Linked DNA regions of Arabidopsis thaliana. The protein of the gene in region 1 binds, or shares a complex with, the protein of each later gene. Each region holds a gene or a part of one and is shown on either strand. Other genes may lie near its edges.

Region 1 (9,412 bases):
TTCTTAAGACTTGACACTTGTTCAGATCTGATGTTGTACCTATGAAAGATCATCGAAGAAGTGGTTATTCTCAAAGAGAAAATGGTTGCATGATTCGATCTCTACTATGAAAAATGTCGAAAAGTCGATACAATAGAAAGATTGTAAGGTTCCATCTCTGACAAAGTAGTCACTTGTACTCAAACAGACCAAGGAAAATTGACCTCCTGGTAGTAATTAAGTGATTCATTTGAGCTACAAGGAGACTCATTATGATCCATGGACCGCTCATTGTCGCGTGTAGTACCACTCATTGGGTCGAAGTCTGAGTCCAAGATTCCTTGGTGAAACCAATTGTGAAGATCTTGTGGCATTTGTTGAGCAAGAACCTTTTCTTGTTGCTTCATATTACAACCAGGATCATCTTGAGGGAACCTTCTCGAAGCTTCTTCTCTAAGTAGAACCACTTGTGCTTGTAAACTAACAACCTTAAGAACAAAGTCAGTGAAGTTACTTGTAAGTACACTAGAGATGATGAAGCAAAAGCAAAAAAAAATTATGTATACATTTCCGAAGAAAAAGTATAATACCTGTTGTTGGAGGGAGAAGATTTGGGAGACGCAGCCGTAAATAGGATCATGGAGACGAGAGTGAGCCTCGTAAGAGATGGTTCGTACGGCGTCACATCGGTCATGATCAGGGAGATGAGAAATGAGCTTAGAGAAGTTGCTAGCTCCAAACACTTTGTGAATGGCTGCAAAATTAGAAGATCCTTCTTCGTAGCAAAAGTATGGTGCAAATACACAACCCTCTACACATTTCCTACGCAAGAACTTGCATCCTCCACATGGTGAGCCTAAACCTCCCATTCTCAAAACGTAATTATAATCTATTGATATTAACCAACTATTACTATCTTGTAGGAATATTAATACTTCATTACTTATACTCTTCTAGTGACGATTATATAGTGCACGAGTGTTTATGGTAAAGGACTAAGGTGGGATTTATGATAACTCAACTTGTTATTTTACATATTTGTCTCTCTAATGGCTTACAATTACAAGATTGCAGCTTTTATATTTTCCCTCAAGTTTATATTGTAAAACATCTCTCTAATATTCAATAACTCGTTGTAATATATTATTGAGATTAAACTCTTAAGGTGGAGAATATTCTTAAGAAAATATTGAGAGAACCATATTAATATTAAGATCCGATCAAATGAGAGATTTGGTTGACGTATAGGACAAAACAATGAGTAAACATGAACCAAACCCAAGTTGCTTTTTGTTGTGGTTTTAGCTTTTTTTTAATTCATAACTAATTTACTCTCTTATTTTATTTAGAAAAATAAATTAGAGTTTACTTTTAGTGTTTGTTTAGTTGAAAATTTACATGTACTTGTGAAATTATGTTAAGATTGTTGTCATTATTGCTTAATTTGGAAAACAATAGTTTAAGATTTAACAATGCTCAACATATACACCACATAAGTGATTGAGATGTGTGTAGAATAAGAACAAAGGCATTTGATATTAGTAGTATATGAGACAAGTTATTTCTATATCTCGATTTAAATATTTTAAAATGCTCTCAGTTTCGATCAAACTTTACAGACTAGAAAAATAGAGAGACCCATGATTATCCAGCCCACATATTAATCATGAATCATGATTAACATCAAAAATATTCCAAAATAATTGATCAAGTACAAAAGTTAAATTATTCGATAATAATGAACAACTGATAGTGGATTTATGACTTAATGTTGGTTTAGTGGAGATTAAAAATAGTAAGAAAAATTTGAGTTTGAAGCTTTATTTTTGTTTTCTTATCTATGTTAAGGATTTCGGGTGTCTTTAGATATCCTAACTTGTGCCTAGAGTTTGCGGAAAAGACGGAGTTTTGGTCAAAGAAGGACCGGGGAACAAAGAAATAACAGAACCAGTACGGCCATGGGATCGGTCTCACCAATGACTGATCTAGGACTCCTCAAACAACCCTCATAAGCCACATTGGCCGTGCCCATCAGTCAAATGCAGATCCAATATCCCTGGAGCCAACTAAATAACCCGCATCGATCAACCATCATGGTCATAGAGCCACCGATCTAGCCAACCAAACCATCCGACCAGTAGCTACATCGTTCTGCCATATCGGTCATATTTTTTTATCGATCCTAATCACAACCCATCTGATCCAGAAGCTGCATTGATCCCAACATCGGCCAATGAAACCCAAACATTATACTTACCCTTTGCAAATCCTATTCTACTGGGAAAATAATATAGTGCTCATCTTTTAATTGATGAAACCCGAACATTGCATTTTGAGAAATAGTATGCAGTCGCAAAAGCAAAAGCAAAAGCATATTCAAATGTAGAAAGAAAATATAACATCCTTGTAATTCTTTAACTAATTAGCAATCTTCAATGATTCACATCATTTTCAACAGAGTATGAAGGAGTTAACATTGCAATGAATCTGCAAATTACTTGTACATATACATAACGCCCAACCAGGGTTAGATAGGAGAAGAGACCAAAACAACAAATGTGTGTTCTTCCATGATCTATTAAAAAGCTTCAATATATAGTAACGTGAAAAAACCTGATTGATTAGTCAACGGCTTTAGAATCATTAGAAGAAGATGCCTCACCAGATTCGGAGTGTTCATGGTTATGATCACAGTGATGGTTGTTATCATCTTCTTCTTCACTGTCATCCTCATCAAAAGGCTTCTGTTTATGAAAGATGCAACACTTCTTCGAACTCTTCTTCTGCATAAACTCATTGTCTACAGTCCCATCTTTCCATGAAACTTTCTTCTTCTTCCGGTTCAACCGAAGCACTAATCTTTCAGTAGGTTGTGATTGAGAAACAGGGTTTTCTAATATGACAGAAGTTGTTGCTGAAGAGGAAGGCCTTGTTGCTGTGCTCATAGCTGAAGATTAGCTTTCAAAATCTGCATAAAAGACTAATTTCATAAGGTACCAAAATACAAGAACAGAGAATAAAAGTTCTTAATAGTAACAACTAACAACATGCTTAAGAATGACAAGAGCTAAAGATAAAAACTAAGACCTTAAACAAAATCGTAAAACAGAACAAAGCCTTTAGGGTTCATTCTTTAGGTAAACAAACCAAACAGATGCTATTTCTCTAACCCTAAATTCATTGCCTACGAGATCTGAACCCTAATCATTCCTAATTCCAGGGGATAAACACAAATCGGTGATATGAAATTGAGAATCAAATGTTGCAGTAAACAATAGAGAGACCTAGTTTCGATCGTAGAAACAATAGCGAAACCTAAACCTAGGGGAAAAAAAGATTCAAAGAATCAAATCGACGAAGAAGCAAACCTGTGAATCCCCAAGGAGGAAGGGACGCTTGTTGAATCGAGAAACTTTTTTTTTTTTTCGTTTTGTTTTTTTTTTCTTTCGCCGATGGAGAAATTTAGTCGCTCCAACCAAAAAAAAAAAAAAAAAAAAAATTCGGTCTAATTTTATATTTATTTTCTAAGAAATGTTAATATATATATTAGAAAAAAGACTAATACAGTGTAATTAATTTTGAGAAAACTATAATGTTAACTTATTTGGGATTCGAAAACTGAATATATAGAATGACTTTATAAGTTACTCATACTCATAGTGAGGTTTAGTTCAGATTTTTACATGGATGGATTTGATTAAATCCAATTATGTATATTTAAGTATTTAACTAATGCAGAATTTAGATCTTATTTTTTTTTTTGCTTATTATTATGCTGGGCCGCCCCTAAGACAGGGCCAAGGAAAATAGAAAATGATCTGGTCATAAAAAATTGGGCTATAAGAGTAAAATAAAACACACAAACAAAAACATCCGTCTCTTTCACTTACACTTTCACTTCACGTTTGCGACTGTGTCGTCGTCAAGCTCCGGATCTCATCGGCGTTTCATCATAATTATCTGTCCATCTATTCACCGTACGACTCCGTTTTAGAAATCTGTAGATGTCAATTTGAGAGAAAAGACTGTCTTCATTACAACACATTTGGGACAACAAGGATCACTCATGGCAGTGGTGGATGTTCATCGTTTCGCTGAGTCAATCACTTGCCATGCTTGGAGTCCTGATCTCTCCAGTATGTTTCTAACACCTCTCTGATTTTGTGATTCTCTTCTTTCTCTCTTCCGTCGTTTTTCTGTTTTTAGAATTATAAATGAGGAGGATCTTTAGTTAGTTTTTCTGAATTGACTTGTGTTATTCTTATACATCTTGGTAATCAAGTTTCTTCTAAATCCCTATAATTGAGAATTTTCGAGTCAATGTTTTATATGTCTGTTTGTCGGTGTCTCTTGTTAGGAGCACTTGGTATCTAGTATTGTACATTAGTAGATGCGCTTTTCTAAACAGATGAACCAAATCTATTGTTACAAATGATTTAACGTCTGTACTAAAGCCTGTAACCATTTATGTGCTTTGACATTTGTTTCGTTTTTCTTGGTAGTGGTTGCTCTCTGTCCTAACAACACTGAAGTTCATATCTATAAATCATTGTCTCAAGACCACTGGGAGAGGTTACATGTCCTCCAAAAGGTGAAACCTTTCTCTCTCCCTCTCTTTCTGTAACTTTTGAACTTGCACTCCTTTTGCTTTCTCTTCTTGGGAATTCCTTACTTTCGTATATTTATGTATTCTCATTTCACTGATCACTTGTCGCTGATAAGTGTTGTATAGACAGCTTGAATCTCCCTTACAACAACTTCATGATTATTGTTCGTCTTGTTGCAGCATGACCAAATTGTTTCTGGAATAGATTGGAGCTCAAAGTCCAACAAAATCGTCACTGTTTCTCATGACAGGAACTCGTAAGTTGCTACCTTTGATATACTTTGAGAAACTCCAAACCTGTTAATCTTAGTCCTTCACTTTTTTTCGTTCGTTGAACTGAGTTTAGAATGCTTCTTGAAGGTACGTCTGGAGCCTGGAAGGAGCTGAATGGGTACCAACTCTCGTTATTCTTAGACTAAATCGTGCTGCACTTTGTGTCCAATGGAGCCCCAAAGGTAAATGTTTAATTTTTCTGGTTCTTAAGCTTAATTTCCGTAATATATCATGTAATTTTCCTATAATTTCTACAGCTTCTAATCTATGTTCTCATCTTTTTGCTCAATACCCATAGAGAACAAGTTTGCTGTTGGAAGTGGTGCTAAAACTGTTTGTATTTGCTATTATGAGCAAGAGAATAACTGGTATTTTCTTCTTCTGCTCCTAATTCTCATTATTAGTCCTTGATTTTTTCTTTGGCAAGTTTCCTGACTTCTTTGCTACGAATGGTGTTGTTGGTCTATGTAATGATATTATCTTGTCTTATGTACTGGCATGATATTAGCACCAATCATATTTTTTATTATCTTGGCATGCATAACTGTGTATTGTTTAGAGATTTTAGAAAGATACTTTCATGTAAACTTTTAGTATCTGACATTGCTTGGCTTTACTGTTTGCAGGTGGGTCAGTAAGCTAATCCGGAAAAGGCACGAATCTTCAGTCACATCTGTTGCTTGGCATCCTAATAATGTACGTGCAATCAACAGAACCTCTTGTAGTTCATGTAGCCAAAATATTAAGCAGGCTCTCTGTAAAAGCTTTCTCTACCAAAAATATTCTATAAGTTGGCCACCAGATTGAGTATAGAGTACATGATCCCTAAAAATAGAATATCAATCTCCACAAACTAGTTAATCTTCTAAATCATTTTTTCTCGTATGCTTTTTTATGTTGCTGTGCTCTCTGATTGTCTGTTATGCATTAGGTTCTTCTGGCAACGACATCAACAGATGGAAAATGTCGGGTATTTTCAACATTCATCAAAGGAGTTGACACAAAGTATGCTCATTACTTGAACGTCTACTTTTAAGACATTTTTTCAAACATGAGGCCATTTCTTATTTTTCTTTCAATGGGCTGATACAGGGATTCAAAAGCAGGCTCACCAGCGGAAACGAAATTTGGGGAGGTTCGACTAGTTTGGCTGGCTTTCCTTCTTTTAGTAAATATTATAATTCTTGTGCCATATATATGTTCCGTCTACTCTCTCATCTAATGTTAGGGAGTTTTTTTTTCTACTGTGGCTTTGTTGAAACAGCAAATTCTTCAGCTTGATCTCTCATATTCTTGGGCATTTGGTGTTAAATGGTCTCCAAGTGGAAACACCTTAGCATATGTAGGTCAGAAAATCCTTCAGACTTGGGATGTTTTTCCATTGCGCTCTACTGAAATAATACAATGGAACTTCAACTTGGTTGCAGTTTTTACTACCATCTGTCATACTTTGCGTGTTTATGTAATCATGTATAGGTCATAGCTCCATGATTTACTTTGTTGATGATGTTGGCCCTTCTCCTTTAGCCCAAAGCGTTGCATTCCGAGATTTGCCTCTTCGTGATGTGGGTCAGCATCCACCTTTATTTTACTTTTGAGAACCTGGTTTCTCCGGTGTGTTATGTCCTGAATTGATATATTATGGGGAAATTGCTATTTCAGGTCCTGTTTATTTCTGAGAAAATGGTGATAGGGGTTGGATATGACAGCAACCCGATGGTATTTGCTGCAGATGATACTGGAATATGGTGTGTAACTCTCAGAAATATCTGCTTAAAATTCTCTTTCTTAGGGGTTTGCATACTATCAAATTTTCAGTTCTTTTATTCCTCTTAGATCACAGGCCGGATTGTTGGTTCTGAAACGAACCACTACCAATAATTGCTTCGTTTACAAGTTTTTGTATTTGGTCTGTAGGAGCTTCATAAGATACATTGGAGAGAAGAAAGCGGCATCTTCAGGTTCCAGTTACAGTTCGCAGGTACATACCAAATCTTCTTTCTTATATTGCAATATGTCTGGTTTTAGCCTTTTAGTGAAAAAAATATGACTGAACTTTAACTTATCCCTGAGTTGTTCCTCTAAAGATCGTAATCTTTGGGGGTTAGTGTAGTTCCTCTCTTTCTTTTTTTCTTGGATTTACGATACGACTTTCCACTTGCATTATTTTGTTGTGTTGTGTCTGACACATCTGTTCATTATGTTATTTTTCAGTTTTCCGAAGCGTTTGGAAAATTCTACGGTAGTCAATCAAAGTCTACAACAGCCAACGATGCTTCTGATTCACGTGGAGGCGTTCATGATAACAGCATAACGTAATTGTTTCTTTATCTAACTTGGCTTGTACCAAATCATTTGCCAAAAAACTGTCTCTTTAGCTCTTTTACTTGATTATCTGTTAAGAGCTGACGTAGAAGTTTACCTGCAGTTCCATTGTGCCTCTGGGCAAAGGAGGGAGTCCTAAAGTTATGCGATTCAGCACTTCAGGTCAGTCACTAAATTTAAATTTATATAACCCTTCATGGAATCACCCGATTCAATTCATACAAAATGACAGGTTTCATTAGCTCGCATTTTCGGTTTATTATTTATAGGATTGGATGGCAAAATAGCCATATGGGATCTAGAGAACATGCAACAAGAACTTGGCAATCAGTTTTAATAAAATCTGGATCAGTAGTCAGCTTACTTAATTTGTATATCAGATTTTGTTTCGACTAGCCTTTTCACCTTTTTCCAATTTCGTAATTGTCACACTTGGTAAACTGCATAATAAAGGCCATGTTTTCCTGGTTTGTGTAAGGGCAGGTGTTATTAAGTTTTGAGCTATGCCCTTGTCTCTGGATCTTTGTAATATCTTGAATGCTCTATCATTTGATTCATTATACGAGTTGGTATCTTGTATATTAACATAATAACATTTTCAGCTTTGTGTCGAATGAGTTCTCCGGACAACAACCACAGAAATGAATGCTATATATCAACAAACTTGAAATGAATCTTTTCATCTGTGATGATATATACAATCCAGAATGAAGCTGACACTAGTATCATCTGACATAATCATCGGGGAATCAAAAGCTCCGCTTAATATCTGTGTAATCAAAACATGGCTTACATCAACTGAAGCACGTACGTACGGTCTTCAGGGGTTAGAAAATTTGACCACTGGTATGTCCTTTAGGAAGCTGCAAGGTGACTTTATACACAGACCAAATGTGAAACCAAGAACACATATCGGGAAAATTCCAAGTACGTGCAAATGTTTTCACTCAATTTCTGGACCACGTTCATGAAGTATATAGCATTGTTTCAGAGAACTCTTAACTCTTGATTCCCGCCCAAACTGAACTAAGTGAAAGTATTCCAGCTGCCTTAATTCACAGATTCTATCTTGATCTAGCATCTGCGGGGAACAACTCGTATTTTGCATTTGTTTACAAGCATATTGTGATCTTCGTAGCTTTCAGAAAAAGCACAACGTCTTAGAGATTGCAGACTATATAGGTAAATTTTTCTCCATTGGGTGTCACTGAAGAGAATCTGAAGAGAACGTCCAACTTTACCAGAATGTTCTTATTGGGTGTCACTGAAGAGAATCTGATAAAACCTTTTTCTCTCTTCTGGATCAAACAGACCACCTGGTCGATCCCCATGGTTTTCTTCTTCATCGACATCATCTCGATCGTGGTTCCTGTCTTTCTTTCGCACCACAGGCTTCAAAGATTCAATACCTTTCTCTCTCTTCTTCTCTAGATTAGCCAAATATCGCCTGTGATTATACTCATACAAGCCCTGCTGCATCAATTCCCCAAATTTATCCTTCACAACAACGAGCGGGTCCTTGTGAATCAATTCCGAGCCATTGTATCCTTCTCTGAGGATCACAGTGTGAACCTGATACTTGTTTCCAACGTAGAATATGCCTGGATGCTTCAGAAGCATACCATTTAGCTTCTCCGGTAACCCAAATTCCCTCTTGAAATGACTCAGCTTTACGATTGACAGCTTTTTCCACAACGTCAACGAGAGTAACTCGTGCACCAAACCAACACTTCTCTTCTCACTCTCCTTTGAACCCTCAACAAGATCCCCATGATCCTCATACGGAGATATGTAAGGAAAGGCATTAAACTCCATGAACCTCTCCCACGGTTTGGTCCACGTGGAAGGTAGAGAGCAAGAGAAACTAGGCTCAGAGCCACATTTCTTTGCTGCTGCTTCAACTGCAGAGACAGCCAACTCAGGCTTCCACAACAAAAGCTCAATCTCCATTGAACTCTTCCTACCACTATAATTCACTAACCGAAACACATCTGAGTACTTTGGAACTATTCTGATAACATAATCATCAGGGAATCCAAAGCTCCGCTTAAACTCGTTAAGCTTCACGACATTGAGACGCTGATTAACACTCAACATAAGCAGCTTTGCAAGCCTATCTGCGAGTACAGGCTCTTGTGTATCTTTGACCAACTCTTCCTCTTCCACAAGCGTCATCATCGGTTTCGTTAACCTACAGTAATACTCATCGTTCTCGAGATAAACATGGAA
Region 2 (7,064 bases), on another chromosome or scaffold:
AGCTTCGTGTAGTTGATTGATTTGCTATAGATGACTTTAATCGATTGCTTTCAAGTGTTAAGATTCATTCAGTGCTTGGTCCTTTATTGATTTGGCTTGTGTCTATTTCACATGGCTTATGTTGTTTGGGTAGAGTTTAATTTTTTATGCATTTTTATGATGTTTAGGTGAAAGTTGACAGCTTGTTAGGGAAGAAGATTGGATTGTATTTTTCAGCTGCTTGGTGTGGACCGTGTCAGCGGTTTACTCCACAGCTGGTGGAAGTCTACAACGAGCTCTCTTCGAAAGTTGGTTTTGAGATTGTGTTTGTGTCAGGTGATGAGGATGAAGAGTCATTTGGAGATTATTTCAGAAAGATGCCCTGGCTCGCTGTTCCGTTTACTGATTCGGAAACCCGTGACCGTTTGGATGAGTTGTTTAAGGTTAGGGGAATACCTAACCTAGTGATGGTTGATGATCATGGTAAACTTGTGAATGAGAATGGTGTTGGGGTCATACGAAGCTATGGAGCTGATGCTTATCCTTTCACACCAGAGAAAATGAAGGAGATCAAAGAGGATGAAGATAGAGCTCGGAGAGGACAGACCTTAAGATCTGTCTTGGTGACTCCTTCACGAGACTTTGTGATTTCGCCTGACGGAAACAAGGTGCACATTAATAGCTTGTGAGATCAGATTCTTTTTCGTCAATAGGAAGATTATATCTATACAAGACTCTTGCATTAGTTAGTTATTACGGACCTGTTTCTCTTTTGTTGACTTAATGAGACCGATCAATTGCATATTCATTAGGTACCCGTATCAGAGCTTGAGGGAAAAACCATTGGCCTTCTCTTCTCTGTGGCCTCTTACAGGAAATGCACAGAGCTTACTCCAAAGCTTGTTGAGTTTTATACGAAGCTGAAGGAGAATAAGGAGGATTTTGAGATTGTGTTGATATCTCTTGAAGATGATGAGGAGTCTTTTAATCAAGACTTCAAGACCAAGCCATGGCTAGCATTGCCGTTCAACGACAAAAGTGGATCAAAATTGGCTCGGCATTTCATGCTGTCAACACTACCGACACTGGTCATTCTCGGCCCTGATGGAAAAACCCGTCACTCGAATGTCGCTGAAGCTATTGATGACTATGGAGTTCTTGCGTATCCTTTCACTCCAGAGAAGTTTCAAGAACTCAAGGAGCTAGAAAAGGCAAAGGTAGAGGCTCAAACGCTCGAGTCACTTCTTGTCTCAGGTGATCTCAACTACGTTCTCGGAAAAGATGGGGCAAAGGTATAGCTCTCGATACCCTCTTCATTTTCTAAACACTGTTCTTCAAGGCTGATCTGAACCAACCTGTAAAAATTTGGCTTTCTTTGTTAGGTGCTTGTTTCGGATCTGGTGGGGAAGACTATTCTTATGTACTTCTCAGCTCACTGGTGTCCTCCTTGTCGCGCTTTTACACCAAAGCTTGTTGAAGTATACAAGCAGATAAAGGAGCGGAATGAAGCGTTTGAATTGATCTTCATCTCCAGTGACCGTGACCAGGAATCATTCGATGAGTACTATTCGCAAATGCCGTGGCTGGCTCTTCCATTTGGTGATCCTAGGAAAGCATCCTTGGCAAAAACCTTTAAGGTTGGTGGGATCCCAATGCTAGCAGCTCTGGGACCAACTGGGCAAACCGTAACAAAAGAAGCAAGGGACCTTGTCGTAGCCCATGGAGCCGATGCTTACCCTTTTACTGAGGAACGTTTGAAGGAGATTGAAGCTAAGTACGATGAGATAGCAAAAGATTGGCCTAAGAAGGTGAAACATGTTCTCCATGAAGAACATGAGCTAGAACTAACTCGTGTTCAGGTTTACACATGCGATAAGTGTGAGGAAGAAGGGACAATATGGTCTTACCATTGCGACGAATGCGACTTTGATCTTCACGCCAAGTGTGCTTTAAACGAGGACACAAAAGAAAACGGCGATGAGGCTGTGAAAGTTGGTGGCGACGAGTCCAAAGATGGTTGGGTTTGTGAAGGAAACGTATGCACCAAGGCCTGATAGGTAGCTTCAGGCACAGTTATGTCACTATGTGTATGCAAAGCTATTTCCTTTCTTTGTATAATTGCTAAGAGTGAGAATGTGTGGTTACAATCTGATATCTGATTAAGACCTTGGAGATAAACTCTGTTAATCTAAAGTAATAATAAAAGAATCTTCTTATTTAACTTTGATCTTGTATCAACAAATTTTATATTCCAACAGGAGTTGTATGAAACAATACATTGGCACACTCTATGTATATATCAAGAGATACAGAGAGAGAGCATTCTGCTCTCAGATGAAATTTTCGTCTTCCTGGTTCCAGTGGCTAACACCTATGCAGAGGAAGCTAAAGGTGGCGATTCTCATGATCTCCAGTGGCTTTGGATTCCCTCATTCGTAATGGGCAGCAAGCAAGGAAGAATAACCAGCTGCTAAATTATGAAAAAATCAGATCAAAAGAAAAACATTTTAAGCTTGAAATGTAGAACTGTTTGAGATGGATCTAAGATCACGTGGGATTTTGGATCCAGTAAACTAAAGTGATACTTACCAGTGATTCTCTGTTTTATCATAGGACGACCACGTTCATGAATTTCCTCTTGGCGAATGCAAGCCACCATTTATTTGGTGTCCCGTTGGCTCTATATGCTACACTCAGTAACCTCCCACTTGTCTCCTCTCGAACCTGCTTAAGATAGTTCCTGAAAAGCTCTGACATTTGAAGCCAAACAGAACACAAGGCTAAGGACCAAGTAACTGAAAGAAAAATCAATAAGAGTTGTTTAGACATGTATATATACCTGCTTCGTCCTGGGACTGCGGAAGCGAAAAGAGACCTGGGAAAGGAAAGCCAGTTTCTCCAGGAACAGGAATATCTTCTAAACCCAAGTTGATAATCGCTTTAGTTCCAACAGCCAATGTTCTACAGCCTTCAAGCCTCTTTAACGCCACATTTATATAAAACGTCAAGTAAATAAGGAGCTTATCAGCAGGACTTTTGATATCAAAGTTTGTGAAGAAGACATTAGCACGAAAGAAGGTGATTGCCTCGTCTACTATATCAGTTTTATCTGCATATAAAACCAACAATTTACAAAAGCTTTCGATCGCACAATTGAAAAAAATCACATGTTTTGATTAATTACCTTGTTCTGAAACAGGTGCAGGACCTTTTATATGACTCTTGAGAGGAAGCAATGGACAACCACATGCCTTTGTTACTCCTTCTTCATCCACAAAACTCGAGTGATAAACCTGATCAGAGCATTTAATCACAAGGATTAAGGAAACAAAATGAGCATCGCAGAGTTAAATACTCCATGGAACCAAATCAAAGTGAAACAAGCTCAATAAATAAAAAAAATCTCATCGAAGATCTAATCTAATTTCATTAGTTACAAAATGAAATGCGATTAATGCTAATTGAAAGATAAGAAAATGGTGATCCGTACCATTTTGTGCCGAATTTGAACAATGAAGCGATATCAGGAAGGAGAAGAATCGAATCGAAGGTAGATCTGCTGCAATTAAGATCTTGGATATATAAGAATCAGAATTTAGGTGAACGATTGATTCTATAGATGAAGAAAGAAAAAGTTTTTACCTAAACGAGATCAGATCAATTTCAACTTCTTTAGCGTCTACGAAAGAGGAAAGACTGCGTAAAGTTCACACGGTGAAGAATCCTTCGTGATGTTGCGGCGGTCGGAGATTGTCTTATTGGGAAGCTTAATCGCCGGCTGAAGAAGAAATTGAAATGGAAAATCGACGAAGTAGGAAAAAGGAATGAAGAACAGAAGAAGAAGAAGACAGAGAGGTATGGATGACACGTGTAAGACTCCATGAATGTGGTACATTGCTTCGTACCGGGAGTAACCAATGTTAAATCCGGCTTAGCTTTGATTTTTGAGTTTCTCGGTTTTTTTATTTGAAATTTGGTTTCTTATCGACCACTGGAATTAGGTACATCAAAAACCAAATAATGATGTGGTTCATTCTTCGGTTCAGTTTCGGGTTACATCAAAGTGGTTTGACCGGATTAAACATTGATCTTCAATCAACAACAACAACAAAATGTCCATATAAGTGTCAAGTTTCTGTTATTTCTGCTGAATGGATAAAAACTTGTTACATAAGCAATATACAAAACTTAGTAAACAAAGGCTAAACAGAAATGCACAAATACTTGCAATGCACCGGACTAAACCGAGATTTAAAGAAGCTCTAGTGAGATTTAATAAGTGTGTTTGATTCTTTGTGTGATATATAGTACAAGTTACATTGGTCATACATGAATATTAATACGTGAATCATCTTACATAAATGTGTCTAACATTCAACAAACTAGTAATGAGCAGCTCTTGACTCAAACAGTTGATTAAACATATTTCTACACTGAATTGATAATAATACAACTGGTGATAACTAAACTAAATTGATGCTACATTCTATGGTCTCGCTTTCGTTTAAATTTGAAGTTACTGGGATGTGCCGAAAGTTATGACCTGAACAGTTGAGAATTGCTCTTTGCACAGTGTGATGATGCGGTTTTAAATCGTTATGGCTCTGGTCATTGTAGCTCGTGAAAGCGCCTAATGCTCCAAGAAACCCTTCATGTCGTAAAAACATTGCCTTTGCCTCACCTCTCGACCTGAAATGAGAAGGAAAAATGAGAAAGTTCGATAAAGATTTTGTGGACATACATGAGTTTAAGATATGGAGGGATTTGATTAAGTAGTTTCGGTTTTGGATTTACCAAAAGTGAACAGCAACGGAGATTGTGTCCATGGTGTACTCAAGCCCACGGATGAAAAATCCACCAAAGAAAATACGCTTAAGACCGAATCTGAGAGCATTCAAATAAGCAATCTGGAGGGAGAGTAGAAAACGTTACAATTCGATCAGAATATCATCAGCTTCAAATTATGTTTTAAAATGGCATTAAAATGTTCAGAGGAACTGACCTGACCGATGTTATTTGATATCATTCTTAGAAGGGACCTTGCCACATCTTCTGGCTGGTAATCTTCAAGTTCTTTACCATCAGAAATCGCTTTCCCAAAGCTGGAAGCGATAGCTGTTGAGGAGAGACCAATCTATCAAAAAAGAATGAACAAAAGGTTATATTAACATATGAATCTAATCTAAAAGTCTTCAGACATGTTTAAGCAAAACCAGGATCAATCAATTACCTTTGAATAATCTGTTCCACCGTAGATATCCCCCACAAGCATGTCAATTACTCTGTTATTTCCATGGTGGCTTAACTCTAGCAGCTCATCAAAACTGAAATTAAGAAATATTAGTTGTTACTCAGGCAAGGAGGAAACTTACATTAATAGACTTAACTAAGAAGTCACCTCTTGCATTTTGTTAAAAGCTTCCCAAGACCTAAAAATGTGCCTCCGCCAAGGCTTGTTCCACTTATCCTCTCATATTTTCCATCTCCATCGACCTATATAAGAACGAGTTTGAGTAAGCAACATCGCTGGTGTAGTAGCAAACAAAAACAGAGAGATCAGAGAAACCAAAACCAGAATGAACCTTGATCATGCTAACGCCAGAACCGATGTTGACTAGTAGATATGGATACAAATCATTATGGTCGATCTCGACAAACTTCTTTTGGCCATCTAAGTAGGTAAAAGCTTCCCTTGGGACAGTCTGCAATCATGCAATAATCTATTGTTAATTTAAAATGGCAGAAATAAGAAGTTTATCAAAAACTATTCTGCCACAGATGCTTTTAATGCAATGAAGAAACTATCGGTTAAAAAACCTCAGGGAGCACAGCTCATTTAATCAAAATTGCAAATGATCACCATCTTCAAATTTATAATGTCCTAAATGTTAATGTAGCTATATTTTCAGTCTTATAGACGTTAGTCTGCAACAACACTCAGGCCAAGATCACTATCAGGGAAACATAATACAACTTCACTCATAAAGAATTAGCAAAAAGTGTTGACAAAGATGAGTGATAGCAACGTGTAGCCTAGACTATTCAGAGTACATATATATCCTCATGTGGGTTATGTTTGAGGAAAAATGAATAGAAGATGATGATAGGATAGAAAAAAAAATCAAACCTTTAGTAGAAAATTAACACCACCAACAAGAGAACACATCTCATCTTCCTTATCGAAAAGAATACCAAGTTTCTCCTTAAAGAGATCAGCAAACTTAAATGCCCCACCACCTGTGGCCTTTGGAATAATATACCATACCATAATCAACTTACAAACAAAAATCCCACTTCAACATTCTTCATTACAAAGCTTTATCCAAACTATAACCGATGCTAGCTTTTACCTTAACATAAAGTTTATCATGACCTTCGCCATTCGGTTGCTGTACACCTGAATAGTTACCTCTGTCAGTGAAATATCAAAAGAACTCAACTTTTCTCGAAATCAGTAAGCTAATGACTCATACATTACTACTGCAAATAGACATAATACTTCTGAGTACATATGAATCCGATTATGAATCAGAGGTTAGGATCATAAAAATCAAAACTTTACCGGAATGATGAAGGATATTGAATCGAATAAACTCCAAACAATCATCAATCTTTCTAGTCTCAAACTTAGCGAAACAAAGCCTTCCTTTCACAACAGAGCAACCATTACGAGACTCTTCGCTATAATCTCCATTTGCAGAGAAATACACAAGCTTGATCAGAGTCCCTACGAAACCAGAAAAAAAAAAACCCCAATTCCGGTTAATTCGAGACAAACCCAGAACCGAAAAATTCTAAAACTGAATGAAACAAAGCCAAGTTTGGATTTTTAAATTACCTCCGATGTCGAGAGCCAAATGAGAGATTTGAGTCGGATCCATGGCGGGTTTTTTGTTTGGGTTTTTGCAAAATTCTCTTTTTTCAACGTTAAATAGAAATAAATTTCAACGATCAACTACTTTGGATCTAAACCATCTATCTACTTCTTCTCTCTTTCTCCATGGCTGACTTGTTGTTGTTGTTTTTTCTTCTTCATGGAGCGATGTTTGGCTGTATTGATTGCGTCAATAATTTTTCTTTTAAAA
Region 3 (6,629 bases), on another chromosome or scaffold:
CATAAATAACATATTTAACTTTTGGTCGCTTTAATTAAAAATATATTATTTCTCTAATTACTCACAAAGTGTTCTTTGTTGAGGTTCATGATGTTTCTTCTTTTGTTTAAGAAAAGTTAACAGAACAAACTTTCAACAACATGTGTATAAATACAATTTGTAATTATATTTATGGCACTGTATATCTGTTACAGTAGAGATGTATACACGTTCGTATAAAGATAAACGTATTTGTTGTAAATCAAAATTATTTTGGTTTCAACTTGTGTTTGCTCCTAATTGTGAGTCTTTACTTCAGTTTTGAGTTTTGAATGGCTAATTTTGTTGAGTTTATAAATTTTGTACTAATTCGTTATAGTAAATGTTATTAGATAAAGCAAATCAAAGTTTGCTTCCTCCTAACACGATTTGAACGTTTTCAAATTGCGATCAGCCAAATATTATATATGAATTATGATATGAGAGAAAGTATATTTTTAAGACATCATATGGGAGAATTTTGTTTTTTGTTCTTTCTTTTTGTGGACAACTGGGAGAATATAGATATATATTATAGTTAGCTTGTCTGCTCAAATATATAATTAACTAAATAATCCACCGATATGCACGTCTAATGAAAGATGATAATATATATAAATATATATAAACATGTTTGTATGTGTGCATTTTTGTCCACATGGTCTAACAAAAGTCAAAGGAATGACCATCTAATTGTCATTGATATGTTAGGTTTAATCATATTTTACGGAAAATACCTCTTTGGTTCTTAATACTCTTCTTTTCGGTCCTTCCTCTCTAAAACCAAACTTAAAGAGACAATACTCAATGTTTTATATGAAAAACTAAAAAAGAAAATCAAACTTAGATGCACCTACATGGATCTTCATTTATAATTAGTTCATAAATGCACATGTGCCACATGTGCCGTTCGAACTGCACGATTCGGTATTCGGTTCGGTTTTGATTCGATTATAGTCTAGTTCTGATTATTTCGGTGTTCTCGAGTTAAAGAACCATATAAAAATCAAAACAATTTTGGTTTAGTTCGGATTTGGTTTCGGTTCTTTCAATTCAGAAATTTAGTATTTATTCAGATATTTTTGAATATTTTAGATATTTTTATATATTTGCGGATATTTTCAAATATTTTTTGGATTTTTTGGTATTCAAAAAAACATACAGTATAAAAATATTTTGAAACTTGAACTTAAATTGTTTTAGCTAGAGTATGCCCAAAAAAAAAAAAAAGGCAAGAACATAAAAGGATATAAGAGGTAGCATATTTATCTCGACGCTATATGTTCTACTTCCAGATTTAATAATTTTCAAAACCATGACAATTAGGATTTGGTGAGTGAGAACGAAAACCAATTACTGACTAATTGAACAAGTTTTCTCACCCAATAAAACAAATACAAAAGATATAGTGAATATATAGCTTATTAGGTTTAGGATTATTTTTTTTGGGTTAAAAATTAGGGTTACGAATTGGGTTGAATTTTTTAAAAACGTAACGTTTGTGATCAGTGGTCGCTCAAATATATATATATATATATATATATATATATATATATATATTTATATTTATATTTTATTTTTTTGTCACTCAAAATTGCTTCCACGTAAATCTGTAAAAAAAGAAGAAGAAGGGAATTCGCTCTCCCATGCACTAATACTTGGTAAGTTATTGAATTCACATCAGACTCCATATAATCCATTTTATCTCCGAAAACATCTGAGTACATAAACAATAATTTAAACGTTTATCACAAAAACACTTATCTATTTCTTTCTAAAGACATCATTTTTTTTATTGGTAATTTTGAATTTTAGAGAAAACAATTTGTAATTAGCTGACAATTTTTTTATATTGTTATATATCTTAATATTTTTGAAATATCAAAAGAGGATCATCAGATTTATTGAAAATAGGTTTTCAAGAGTTCATCTGGAACTACCGGATGCTATAAATAATAAATAAAAATTGTTGTATTTGGAAATTTTTTCATGTGAAAGCAACTACTATTTCTGGGATTCCCTTTTGTTACTACTACTACTCAATTACTCATTTAATTTGATCAAAAAGACTGTAAAAGTAAAAACTTAATTGCTTTTGTCTTTTATAAGGAAACGTTGATCAAGCTGATGCTTTGGCAAAAGCTGCTCTTGTTTCTTCTTGTACTAACGTTGATAAAAAAAAAAAAAAAAAAAAAAAAGATCTAAACTTTTATTTAACGCTATTTGACATTTGAATTCAACCTGGTTTATTACAATCCTATAAAATTTTAAAAATCTAAAGAGTAAAATTGTTTAAATCAATGACTAACTATGTGAACATTTACTCTTGTATGACGAGTGCATTTACATTGAAAGTTTAGAAATGAATTTAGTTTCAATGGGCTGAGTTCGATATTGGGCCTTCGAGTTATGAACATTCAGTGAATCAGGAATGGTTGTATTCAACTTGTGATTTGTAATTTTTTTCTCAAATCCTTTGTTATTGAAATTGGAATTTATATAAAATCACTCAAAAGAATCTATAATCTTCTGTTATTCATTCAAGAATTTATAAAACACATCTTAAATCCACTGTTATCTAAACTCAACAAAACAATTTCATTAAAAACATTTAACATTGATTCTGGGAGACTTAGGCAAAAAAATTTAGTTGAAAATAAGCATGAAAAAATCTCACCTGTAGGTGTTATTCTGAACGATTTGATTTAAAAAAAGATTCACAGAAAATCTCTGCGACATATTCTCATTGTCCTCCTCCCCTCGTCTTCCATGAAAAAAGCTTTCGGTCTCTGTTCTTCACCGGCAAAATCGAGAATGGATTTGGTCTGTAGAAGAATGCAAATTCCACCAAATCTTCTAAAAGATTCTGGTTTCAATACACCCCCCTAAAATTACTTAATCACAACTTGGTCTTCGTATTTATGATTCAGCTGATCCGGGAATTATGTTACACATGAGCTCTAGGAATGACTTGTGTTATCATTTATCAAGCAACTGTTTGGTAATGAAAATACAAGTCTAAAACTGATAAATGTGAGACATGGTTCCTCAAGGAGAATATGCACATTGGAAACATCAAGGCATCAAGTAATAATACATAAGAGGGAATGATGGATCAAACGGTGTTGATGGTATCAGTAAGACATCGGAGAATGCAACCGAGACCAGCTCTCTCAGTGAGTTTCTCGTGAATCTTCAGGCACTGATCGCAGGTGGGTCGGTCCCCAGTAGAAAGTCCTCTGTACAAGTACCTGAGAATTTTAAGCAAAAACATTCTATCAAAGAGCACAGACAGCCTGAGGATAGAGCTTTCCAATTCATACATATTACAAAACGCATTACAGCAAAAAAAAAAAAAACCAACTTTGCACTTACTTCATGAGAATGTCGTAATATTCGACATCAAGAGCATTGAGCATTCCGTCAATATCCTTAATGGCCATTAAAGCTCTGTGCACAACTATCCAATTAGCCGACTGCAGTTGAGTTTTTTTTGGCTCAGTAAATCAAAAAAAAAAAAAAAGATGGTTTCGGAAAGAGAGAGACCTTGCAACGTTCATCGCGAGTTTTCGGAGGCGAACCTTCAAGAGCCGTTTTCAAAGCTTCTACATGTTTGTACCTGCACACATTAAAACACCGATAAGGGATTAAACCAAAAACAAAAGAAGACTTTAGGGTTTAGCTCCAAGGTCTGATATTACTGTTTGAGTAGGCTTTCAATCTTCCTCGATTTGGTTTCGATCCTCGCGATTATTGCTTCTGCGTTATCAGCTTCAACGAATTCTGCCATTCTTCGATTCGATCTTTCTCTCCGATCAGAGATTTCCCCTCTTTCCCTTCTTTAATTGAAAAAATGAGAGAGAGAGAGGAAAACAACTCAATCGCCATTTGACCATTTCAAAAGGGAACTGAGTGCCGTTTGTCTTGGCCTTAAACGGCACGTAGTCTTAAATGCTTATGCTGCCACTGAATGATGGATGATGGAAGCTTCATTTTTTTTTTCATTTTTTGTCAATAGGATTTTCATCGATAGGATTCAAGTTGAAATACAAGAGCCGGCAAGTACAAACCACTTCCGGAGACATAAGCCGATGAGTACAAGAACACTCCCGAAGCCAAATACCAAACAAGGTAAACAAAGGGAACAAAATCCAAACAAACCAATTACACTATATTCATTGAAATTTCCTCGATCAGGTTCTAGAAATCCAAAAAAGACTTACAAATCCTAAGTCATAGAAAATTAAAACAAATCTGAGACTAAAAAAGACACACAAACGGGTTACAATACAAGAATCTCCTTTTCTTTCTTGGTATAACAATTTTTTTTTTATTATAAATCTCTCTTATAAATTTTTAATAGTAATATTTGTTGGACCGAATTTTTTATATTTATACTAATGAACTTTTCTTTACGATTTTGTTACCATTTTGGTATCATTTTTACGATTTTAATTTATTAACCTCCTTAATTAAAATCGCAACCTATTCTATTTTATTAACACAGGTCAAAATATATTTTTTTCTGCGCTCGACCCTAATATGTTAACAAAATGGTTGTTTCTGCCCAAATCTCATTATATTTGTATGGATAGACGAAGAGCATTTTGATAATACTCTTTTGGAATGTTTCTTTATCATTCTAATTAGGATCCTACATCGAAAGTATACTATAAATGGAGTAAACACACTCATGACTGCTAAGTGCTAACACTAGTATATATGGAACACAACCAATCCAATCATTACCCATTGGTTTTAAATTAGAATCTGATGAAACTTAACATTAACTTTCTCTAATCATTAATGATATTGGTAGTCTTATAACAAATATATTGCCAAGATTCGGTCTAAGACCACTTGATAGAACTATGTATAAAACTTCTTTTTTTTAACTGCCAAACCTATATAAAGTGGACGTGTAAACTAAAGCATGGTGATCACTTCACATCGCACCAATGTAGTGGATCTAAACGTCTCTTTGTGTAATCACGTGGTCGAATTAATGGTCAATCATTTAGCAATTAACCAAATTTGAAATAACATCCGAAAAAAGTCGGTTTAGTGGGAGGAGAAGTGAGAATGATGTTTCATGAATGCTCGTTAGGAACTCTTCGAAAGACGATAACCTCGGATGGATGTTTATGGTGTCGGCTTCTAGTGGTTAAACATAATTAGATCGTCTACTGAAAAGTTGGAGATGTGGTTGAGAAACTCGTACCCTACATATGGTTACTCGTCTGCTGGTTTAATCGTTGGGATTGATCGTGTACTAGTCTTTCTTAAAGGCCAAGAATTTTGTCGTCGTAGTTAATATATGTTGGCGTACGTTTTACTGTTTTTCTTGAGAAATAATTGGATCTTAAGCTTATTAAAAAAGTCGTCACGACTTGGTCCAACTCGTACATATCACAAGTTGCTCGGCGCTTTTCATGTTAGTTAGCCACCGACCTCGAACTTTGAAATTTTATATTTTTTAACTTCAAAAACAATTCTTTGATAGTTTTGTTTTCATTGCTAATATTTCTCTCAATTTTTTTTTATTGTTTTTATTTTTGTATAGAATAGTATTCAAAATGAAACTATAATTCAGTATGGAACACTTTCTGTTTTATTTAATATTTACTTCATAATGAATTATGTTTCAAATTTTCAAAGAATATATTTATATTTGAATTTGGTTAGTACCTTCCAAAGAAGCTTAATTCCCCACATTAAAATTCAACTTGGTCTTCATATTAACATTATTCAATTGAATTCAGACTGAAATGGTTCACTTTATCTGGTTTGAAATATATGTCATGCATTTTCCAAATCAAGAATGAATCTTCTTGAAAGAAAAAAAATGAGAAAAAAGAAGAAGGAGAGGAATGGGTCTCCTAACAATGAAAAAGAGAATAAACCCTTAAATAATTGCAACTATATAAAATAAAAAGTATAAACTCCACTAAAAAAAGTCAAAACGTAGACCAAAACAAAAACATGTAACTAAGTCGTCCACTACTACATCTCTATGACTCTATATAACAACAAAGCCAAAACCACATCTTCTCACACAAAACACAAAAAAGAACAAATATGGAGAAACAAATCTCTCTATTGCTCTGTCTACTCCTCTTCATCTTCTCAATATCATCCTCTCTCCATGAAACCGAAGCTCGAAAACACAATAAATATAAACCCGCACCGATCATGAGCCTAGTCCCAAGAACTCTCTACGACCAAATCTTCATCCACAAGGACAACAACGCATGCCCTGCAAAAGGTTTCTACCCCTATGAAGCTTTCGTGGAGGCTACAAGATCCTTCCCGAAGTTCGGGAGCGTAGGAAACTTTTGGACAAGGCGACGCGAAGTGGCTGCGTTTTTGGCGCAGATATCTCACGAGACAACAGGTGGTTGGGCCACGGCACCAGACGGACCATATGCGTGGGGATTGTGTTTTAAAGAGGAAGTGAGTCCACAGAGTAATTATTGTGATGCTTCTAATAAGGATTGGCCTTGTGTTTCTGGCAAGTCTTACAAAGGAAGAGGTCCCATTCAACTATCTTGGTAAGTCTACAAAATTAATTATTAACCAATAACCATTTATATCTATTTATTTGCTCGAAC
Region 4 (6,166 bases), on another chromosome or scaffold:
CAAGAGTAAGACAGAGACACAAAGGCGAGAGCTATGTCGTCGTCGGTGGATTTCGTGACGGAACAGGGGAGATGCGGCGACGATGGTAACGGCGCCGGAGAGACAGTAAAGAATGGCGAAATTGATCATTTGCTTTCCGAACCGTCGGCTCCGACTATTTCTCTCCCTACGGAATCTTTCCTCAGAGCAGCGACGTTACTCAAGAACCAGGTGCGTTACGATAACTATGCGACGCCCCAGACGGCTAATGTAAGCCTAGTCCGTACGTTCGCTCATATATGTTTTTTGGTCGATGTATGTATAGGTTGTGGAGGCCACGTGGAAAGGTGGTGTCGAAGCTCTTGCCTCTGGTTCGGGTCCAGTGCTGGATCCGACTGTGTACACAGGACTACTCGGCACAGCGTTCACCTGCTTGAAGTCGTACGAGGTAACGCGGAACCATCAAGATCTGCTAACTTGCGCAGAGATAATCGACACGTGTGCCAACGTTGCGCGTGCCACAACCAGGTGAAAATATCTTCGTCACTAAGTTGCTTAGCCAAGTAAACATCAAATATCATCTTCCATAAAAAAAAAAAATGGAATCTAACCATTTTAAAGAATATTCTTAATTAAAATCTGTCTGATAGAAAACACATGTGTGAGATTGAGTCATTACAAAGATGTCACTGTTTAACCAATTATAGTTTATAGAAAATTATGTATGTATGAACGAATTTTCAGGTTCTGGAATAATAACAATATCTACACACCCATTAGAATGGACTTGTCATTTTCTAACAAATTATTGGACTTGTTATGCTCATGAATAGGCACGTGACATTTTTATGTGGAAGAGGAGGAGTTTGTACGCTTGGTGCAATTGTAGCCAATTACAGAGGGGACCAATCAAAGCGTGACTTCTTCCTCGGTCTTTTTCTTGAGGTTCCAATCTTTTTGACTTCATACACCATTTCTTTTGCTTACAACACTTTCAGATAAAAGCTATAGATTCAGTATTTTGATCCAACGTGTCATATATTAACCCTTAAGCAAGATTAGTGAAGTGACGAGCCTTTAAGATTTGTTATTCTTACAAGCAGCTTGCAGAAGAGAGAGAGTTACCAGCAGGACCAGAGGAAGGAGGATTTGGGATGTCATATGACCTTCTCTATGGAAGAGCGGGTTTCCTTTGGGCTGCTCTGTTCCTAAACCGATATCTCGGCCAAGGAACTGTTCCTGACCATCTCTTATCACCCATTGTTGCAGCCATCTTAGCCGGTGGGCGAGTTGGAGCTGCAGATCATGAAGCTTGTCCTCTGTTATACAGGTTTCACAAAATAGCTATAGTTTGTTAAAAGAGAATCCTGTTTATCTTTAGTAGGAATTGATCTTACTTTTGTGGCTTTTAGGTTTCACGGAACGCGATTTTGGGGTGCTGCGAATGGATTAGCTGGAATCTTGTATGTATTGCTGCATTTTCCACTATCGGAAGAGGATGTTAAAGATGTTCAAGGGACATTGAGGTATATGATGAGTAATAGGTTTCCGAACAGCGGAAACTACCCGTGCAGCGAAGGGAATCCGAGGGATAAGCTAGTCCAATGGGCTCATGGAGCAACCGGCATGGCCATTACTTTGGCTAAAGCATCTCAGGTGTTTCCCAAGGAAAGGGATTTCCGCGAAGCAGCCATTGAAGCAGGAGAAGTAGTGTGGAAGAGTGGCTTGGTGAAGAAGGTAGGTTTAGCTGATGGAGTTGCTGGTAATGCCTACGCTTTCTTATCCCTTTATCGCTTAACCGGAGATGTTGTATATGAAGAGAGAGCAAAAGCGTTTGCGAGTTACTTGTGCCGTGATGCGATAGAGCTCGTGAATATGACAAGCCAAGAAACAGAACATGATTATTCGCTATTCCGGGGACTAGCTGGACCAGTATGCCTCTGGTTCGATCTTGTGTCGCCGGTAGATTCTAAGTTTCCTGGTTATGAGATATAATTTAAAACCAGGTAACCGTAGGTTCTTTTATGACTATCTCTTTGTGAAAGGATCTTAGGTTCTCCGGTTTATTCCACTTTCTATAATCTATTGAAGTAACTTGAGATTTGGGAGAAACATTCATAGAAAACAAGAATAAAAGTAACATGAAAAGATCAGCTTAATGGTTTAAACGGTATTGGTAGTATCACTCAGACAACGGAGAATGCAACCGAGACCAGCTCTCTCTGTTAGTTTCTCGTGAATCATCAAACACTGTTCGCATGTGGGTTCGTCACCAGTCGAAAGACCTCTGTACAAGTACCTGATCCACACCATTTAAGCAAACAAAACACTGCTTCCACATCACGCTAATTAAAAGCTAGCAGAGCAAAAGGCAAGAGACTTACTTCATGAGAATGTCGTAATACTCGGCAGTAAGAGAATTTAACATTCCTTCGATATCCTTTATCGCCATGATAGCTCTGTGCACAACTATCCAATTAGCTGACTGCAATTTCACAGATATTTATCATAAATTACACAATCTTTTTGATCATGAACAAACTACTTATGTGCATGGTAGAGGAAACAGTAGGACCTTGCAACGTTCGTCGAGAGTTTTAGGTGGCGAACCATCAAGAGCCGTTTTAAGAGCTTCGACATGTTTGTAGCTGAATAAAACGAAGTAACAATTATAGCCTAGGTCATCTGAGAAAGTTGGAAGAAAAAAGGAACTTTAGGGTTATTACTGTTTGAGTAAGCTTTCAATCTTCTGCGATTTGGTTTCGATCCTTGCCATTATTTCCTCTGCATTATCAGCTTCAACAAATGCTGCTGCACCAGCCATTGGATCTCTCTCTTTCTCTACACTCTCCAGCAAAATTATCTAAAACCTAATCAATTAATTTCATTTCTTCATTCAAATCGACAACTTGCTGCATAAGAAACATATGATTTGAGTTTACTAACCAAAGGAGGCAATGCAAAACTTGTCATCCCCATAAAAAGCTAAAAAGAGAAGTAACAATCACGACAAAATCAATTCTAATCACGTAAAACAATCCATTGCCGATGGTACGCAGATTTCTCACATCATATCAGATCAGTAATCCTGAACTTTCTGATCAAATCATACAAGATTGAAGAATCAAGCAGGATTCGAAGATTACCTGAAATTAGAGAGAATAAAGCAATCGAGTGGTAAAACGGCCGAGTGAGAATTTATCAGAACTGTGATACCAATTATTAAAATCGGATGCTTCAGTTTTTAATTTTTACTTTTTCACATTGACGTAACAAGAGAAATAGAAAAGTTGTTATTGCTGGTATATATTTGTAATTAACAAAAATGTAACAATAATCTTACAAATGTAGAGAGAATAAAAACATGTTGATCAAATTAATATCCAATTTTTAAGATCAAATTAAGATCGGTTTGTTATACTTGGATTCAACACCCCAAAACCCCACAAAAACTGCTCATTAAGCAACAAATGAATCACACAGCTCTAGATAGGAGAAATATCCCAATCAGAGTCTTTAAAACATCTATATATTGTTGTTATCAAGTAACATTCAAGAATTGAATTGGTTTATCTAAGAGTTACAACACATGTTACTCTTGTTTGGTATCACTTGACCAGGACCTGGAACAATATCAATCTTCTTACCAGCAAGCGACCCGGGATTACCATTCTCTTGATCTTCACTCGCAGCCAGACTTTTCTTGTTCACAATGTTGAAGATCTCAGTCAAAACCGTGGAGAAAGCGCTCTCAACATTGGTTGCGTTAAATGCAGATGTCTCCAAGAAGAACAAACCTTCTTTCTCCGCAAATTCTTTCGCATCTTCTGTCGGTATAGCTCGTTGATCCACAAGATCTGACTTGTTCCCAATAAGGATTATCACAATGTTCTTATCTGCATGAGCACGTAGTTCTTCTAACCATCTTGGGATATGGTCAAAGGTTTGGCGTCTGGTTATGTCATACACCAACATCGCCCCAACCGCTCCTCGGTAATATGCACTTGTTACTGCTCTGTATCTGTTTCAACCAATACCACACATATAGAAAGATATACAATGTAAGCATATGATAAGCATGAAATGTGGTGGTTAGCTTACTCATTAAAGATCAGTGAATGTATAAAGTTGATGAAGCATCACTGGGAAATGTATAACAAAAGTGTCCAAATTTGTACCAATCATAAAATTATAGAAGCTTAATAACATTGGAATAGTAATATACATAATTCTAGTCTATACATAATTTTGAAATCCCAATCCCAAATTCTCAATGATTCTACCATTTTACTTCAGATCCTCCCAATTTCGTATACAGATCAGTAAGCTTTACTAGAATTCGAAATCCTAAGCAGACCTATCATCTTCCAGATCTAGAGAAACAGTAAAATCTTACGAGATCTAAGTTCAAGCAATTGAAGTAGCTAAAAGTTCCGGGAGAGGTCGGAGATTACCGTTCTTGGCCGGCGGTATCCCAGATCTGAGCCTTAACACTCTTGTGATCGATAACAAGCGTCCGAGTCTGAAACTCAACGCCGATGGTGGCCTTAGAATCCAAACTGAATTCGTCTCTAGCATAACGAGCCAGTATCTGTGATTTCCCAACCGCGGAATCGCCGATCAACACCACTTTGAACACATAATCAATCTTCTGCGACGGATCTCCGTATCCTCCTCCACTAGTCATCTTCTTCAACGTCTCTCTCTCGCTAAATCCTCTCTTGCTAAATCCTCTGTTTTAAGCTTTTACCGAAAAGTGAGCTTTTTTGAAGTTTTAAACGCAGAGAGAGATCTGATACGGTCGTATTGTCGTCGTTGTCAACTATTAGTCAATATTTTTAATTAATGATGACGTGTCTAAATATTAACCGTTGGATTCTGCCGGCTCGGTGAGATTTGACGGATTCGACAATTATCTTTCTGTCAGGCGCATGTTTTTGGGTGATGATGTCATCAAATAGGGTAATTTCGAATGTTAAAAAGTCTTTTAAAATTGGGCCTTATTAGGCCCATTAAGTTATAATAAAGGGCCGTTATTTGGTTGATTACGTGTCGCTATCCGAATTGACAAAAAGTGACCTAAGCGTTTTCAGAAGAAAACAAAGCAAACGTCGCGACGGAGAGAGAGCGAGAGAGACGATGGAGGAAGAGGAGCACGAGGTTTACGGTGGTGAAATTCCAGACGTCGGAGAGATGGATGGAGATATGGAGGCTCTCAACCCCGATTTGGATATGGCTGCTGCTGATGATGATGCGGTTAAGGTCTACTATTATCTCTTTCTCTCTTACTGTTTTGCTCATCTTTATGTGACTGAGCTCGATTGATTTGTTATCGCGTGTATATGTGTTTGATTGTTGTGTTATTGCTGTTGTAATTCTAGGAGTTGGATGAAATGAAGAAACGATTGAAAGAGATGGAGGACGAAGCTGCTGCTCTGCGTGAGATGCAGGCTAAGGTCGAGAAGGAAATGGGAGCTCAAGGTTTTCGTCTCTTTGATTTGGTTTTGCTATAACTCGCTTCTTTGATATGATTATCATCGTGCTTCCCGCAATTCGCTAGGTTTTTGATAATTGGTAGCTACTTGGTGGTGTTTGAATCCATCTTAGAATTCCACTGTGAATTATGTTATGTATATGGAGTTTTTTTTTGCTTCTTGACTAAAGTTTTTGGTTCAATTTTGTTATTCCAGATCCTGCTAGTATTGCAGCGAATCAAGCAGGCAAGGAGGAGGTTGATGCTCGATCAGTTTTTGTTGGCAATGTAAGAATATTTATGTTTCTGCGTCGTTTTCTTTCTTTAAGCCATCTTAGCTAGCTTCTGCTTTATTTTCATAGTTTTTAACTCGTATTGATCTTAATGTTCATTGGATTAGACTATGAATTGTGCCTTTTTTAGCTCTCTTGATACAAAACCTTTTATCTAGGGTGTTAGAATTATTATCGTAGAAATCTATTATCTGATTATGTTCTCTTCCTGATCCATGATTGCATTCTCTACATTTAGTGCTTGAATATATCACTAGTTTACTCTGACTTTTGGTGTAATGTCACATCTTTGTTGCTATGGATTCTTGTCTATTCAGTGAGAACTCTTATTAGATGAAATTGTTGAATGGTAAAAAGTTGGTGCTTAGCGTGAAGACTTTATCTTCAAATGAAAACTAGTGAGGGGTTTCTGTTGTTAGTG

What was found.
Region 2: ARPC1B (region 1) and ARPC3 share a complex: the UniProt entries of both Arabidopsis thaliana proteins name them as parts of the arp2/3 complex.
Region 3: ARPC1B (region 1) and CRK share a complex: the UniProt entries of both Arabidopsis thaliana proteins name them as parts of the arp2/3 complex.
Region 4: ARPC1B (region 1) and AT5G65274 share a complex: the UniProt entries of both Arabidopsis thaliana proteins name them as parts of the arp2/3 complex.

What each region holds. Positions count from the first base shown.
Region 1 is NC_003071.7:13,344,421-13,353,832, reverse strand, and holds ARPC1B (actin-related protein C1B), read left to right. Parts: upstream 1-3,833; 5' UTR 3,834-4,045; coding exon 4,046-4,115; intron 4,116-4,481; coding exon 4,482-4,570; intron 4,571-4,765; coding exon 4,766-4,842; intron 4,843-4,945; coding exon 4,946-5,040; intron 5,041-5,156; coding exon 5,157-5,226; intron 5,227-5,484; coding exon 5,485-5,554; intron 5,555-5,789; coding exon 5,790-5,863; intron 5,864-5,950; coding exon 5,951-5,993; intron 5,994-6,122; coding exon 6,123-6,204; intron 6,205-6,334; coding exon 6,335-6,423; intron 6,424-6,520; coding exon 6,521-6,606; intron 6,607-6,775; coding exon 6,776-6,839; intron 6,840-7,072; coding exon 7,073-7,173; intron 7,174-7,286; coding exon 7,287-7,345; intron 7,346-7,452; coding exon of another isoform or gene 7,453-7,520; exon of another isoform or gene 7,521-7,785; coding exon 7,786-7,856; downstream 7,857-9,412. Other genes in the region: LBD14 (LOB domain-containing protein 14), read right to left, coding at 180-467, 570-848; INH3 (inhibitor-3), read right to left, coding at 2,601-2,924; AT2G31290 (Ubiquitin carboxyl-terminal hydrolase family protein), read right to left, coding at 8,435-9,412. UniProt on the Arabidopsis thaliana protein: Functions as a component of the Arp2/3 complex which is involved in regulation of actin polymerization and together with an activating nucleation-promoting factor (NPF) mediates the formation of branched actin networks.
Region 2 is NC_003070.9:22,262,211-22,269,274, forward strand, and holds ARPC3 (actin-related protein C3), read right to left. Parts: upstream 3,867-7,064; 5' UTR 3,622-3,866; intron 3,552-3,621; exon of another isoform or gene 3,539-3,551; 5' UTR 3,473-3,538; coding exon 3,470-3,472; intron 3,273-3,469; coding exon 3,164-3,272; intron 3,089-3,163; coding exon 2,819-3,088; coding exon of another isoform or gene 2,787-2,818; intron 2,730-2,786; coding exon 2,587-2,729; 3' UTR 2,569-2,586; intron 2,447-2,568; 3' UTR 2,175-2,446; downstream 1-2,174. Other genes in the region: AT1G60420 (DC1 domain-containing protein), read left to right, coding at 168-647, 792-1,271, 1,362-2,033; PANK1 (pantothenate kinase 1), read right to left, coding at 4,443-4,668, 4,774-4,886, 4,982-5,113, 5,210-5,303, 5,378-5,472, 5,562-5,681, 6,107-6,223, 6,330-6,376 and 2 more. UniProt on the Arabidopsis thaliana protein: Functions as a component of the Arp2/3 complex which is involved in regulation of actin polymerization and together with an activating nucleation-promoting factor (NPF) mediates the formation of branched actin networks.
Region 3 is NC_003075.7:732,955-739,583, reverse strand, and holds CRK (ARP2/3 complex 16 kDa subunit (p16-Arc)), read right to left. Parts: upstream 3,932-6,629; 5' UTR 3,809-3,931; coding exon 3,720-3,808; intron 3,638-3,719; coding exon 3,565-3,637; intron 3,495-3,564; coding exon 3,394-3,494; intron 3,270-3,393; coding exon 3,134-3,269; 3' UTR 2,619-3,133; downstream 1-2,618. Other genes in the region: AT4G01703 (uncharacterized protein), read left to right, coding at 5,219-5,332; AT4G01700 (Chitinase family protein), read left to right, coding at 6,097-6,569. UniProt on the Arabidopsis thaliana protein: Functions as a component of the Arp2/3 complex which is involved in regulation of actin polymerization and together with an activating nucleation-promoting factor (NPF) mediates the formation of branched actin networks.
Region 4 is NC_003076.8:26,081,937-26,088,102, reverse strand, and holds AT5G65274 (ARP2/3 complex 16 kDa subunit (p16-Arc)), read right to left. Parts: upstream 2,804-6,166; coding exon 2,706-2,803; intron 2,628-2,705; coding exon 2,555-2,627; intron 2,511-2,554; exon of another isoform or gene 2,465-2,510; coding exon 2,364-2,464; exon of another isoform or gene 2,279-2,363; coding exon 2,143-2,278; downstream 1-2,142. Other genes in the region: GCL1 (GCR2-like 1), read left to right, coding at 34-210, 305-507, 813-924, 1,083-1,309, 1,392-1,974; RABA4a (RAB GTPase homolog A4A), read right to left, coding at 3,553-4,000, 4,434-4,666; AT5G65260 (RNA-binding (RRM/RBD/RNP motifs) family protein), read left to right, coding at 5,119-5,241, 5,361-5,460, 5,670-5,740. UniProt on the Arabidopsis thaliana protein: Functions as a component of the Arp2/3 complex which is involved in regulation of actin polymerization and together with an activating nucleation-promoting factor (NPF) mediates the formation of branched actin networks.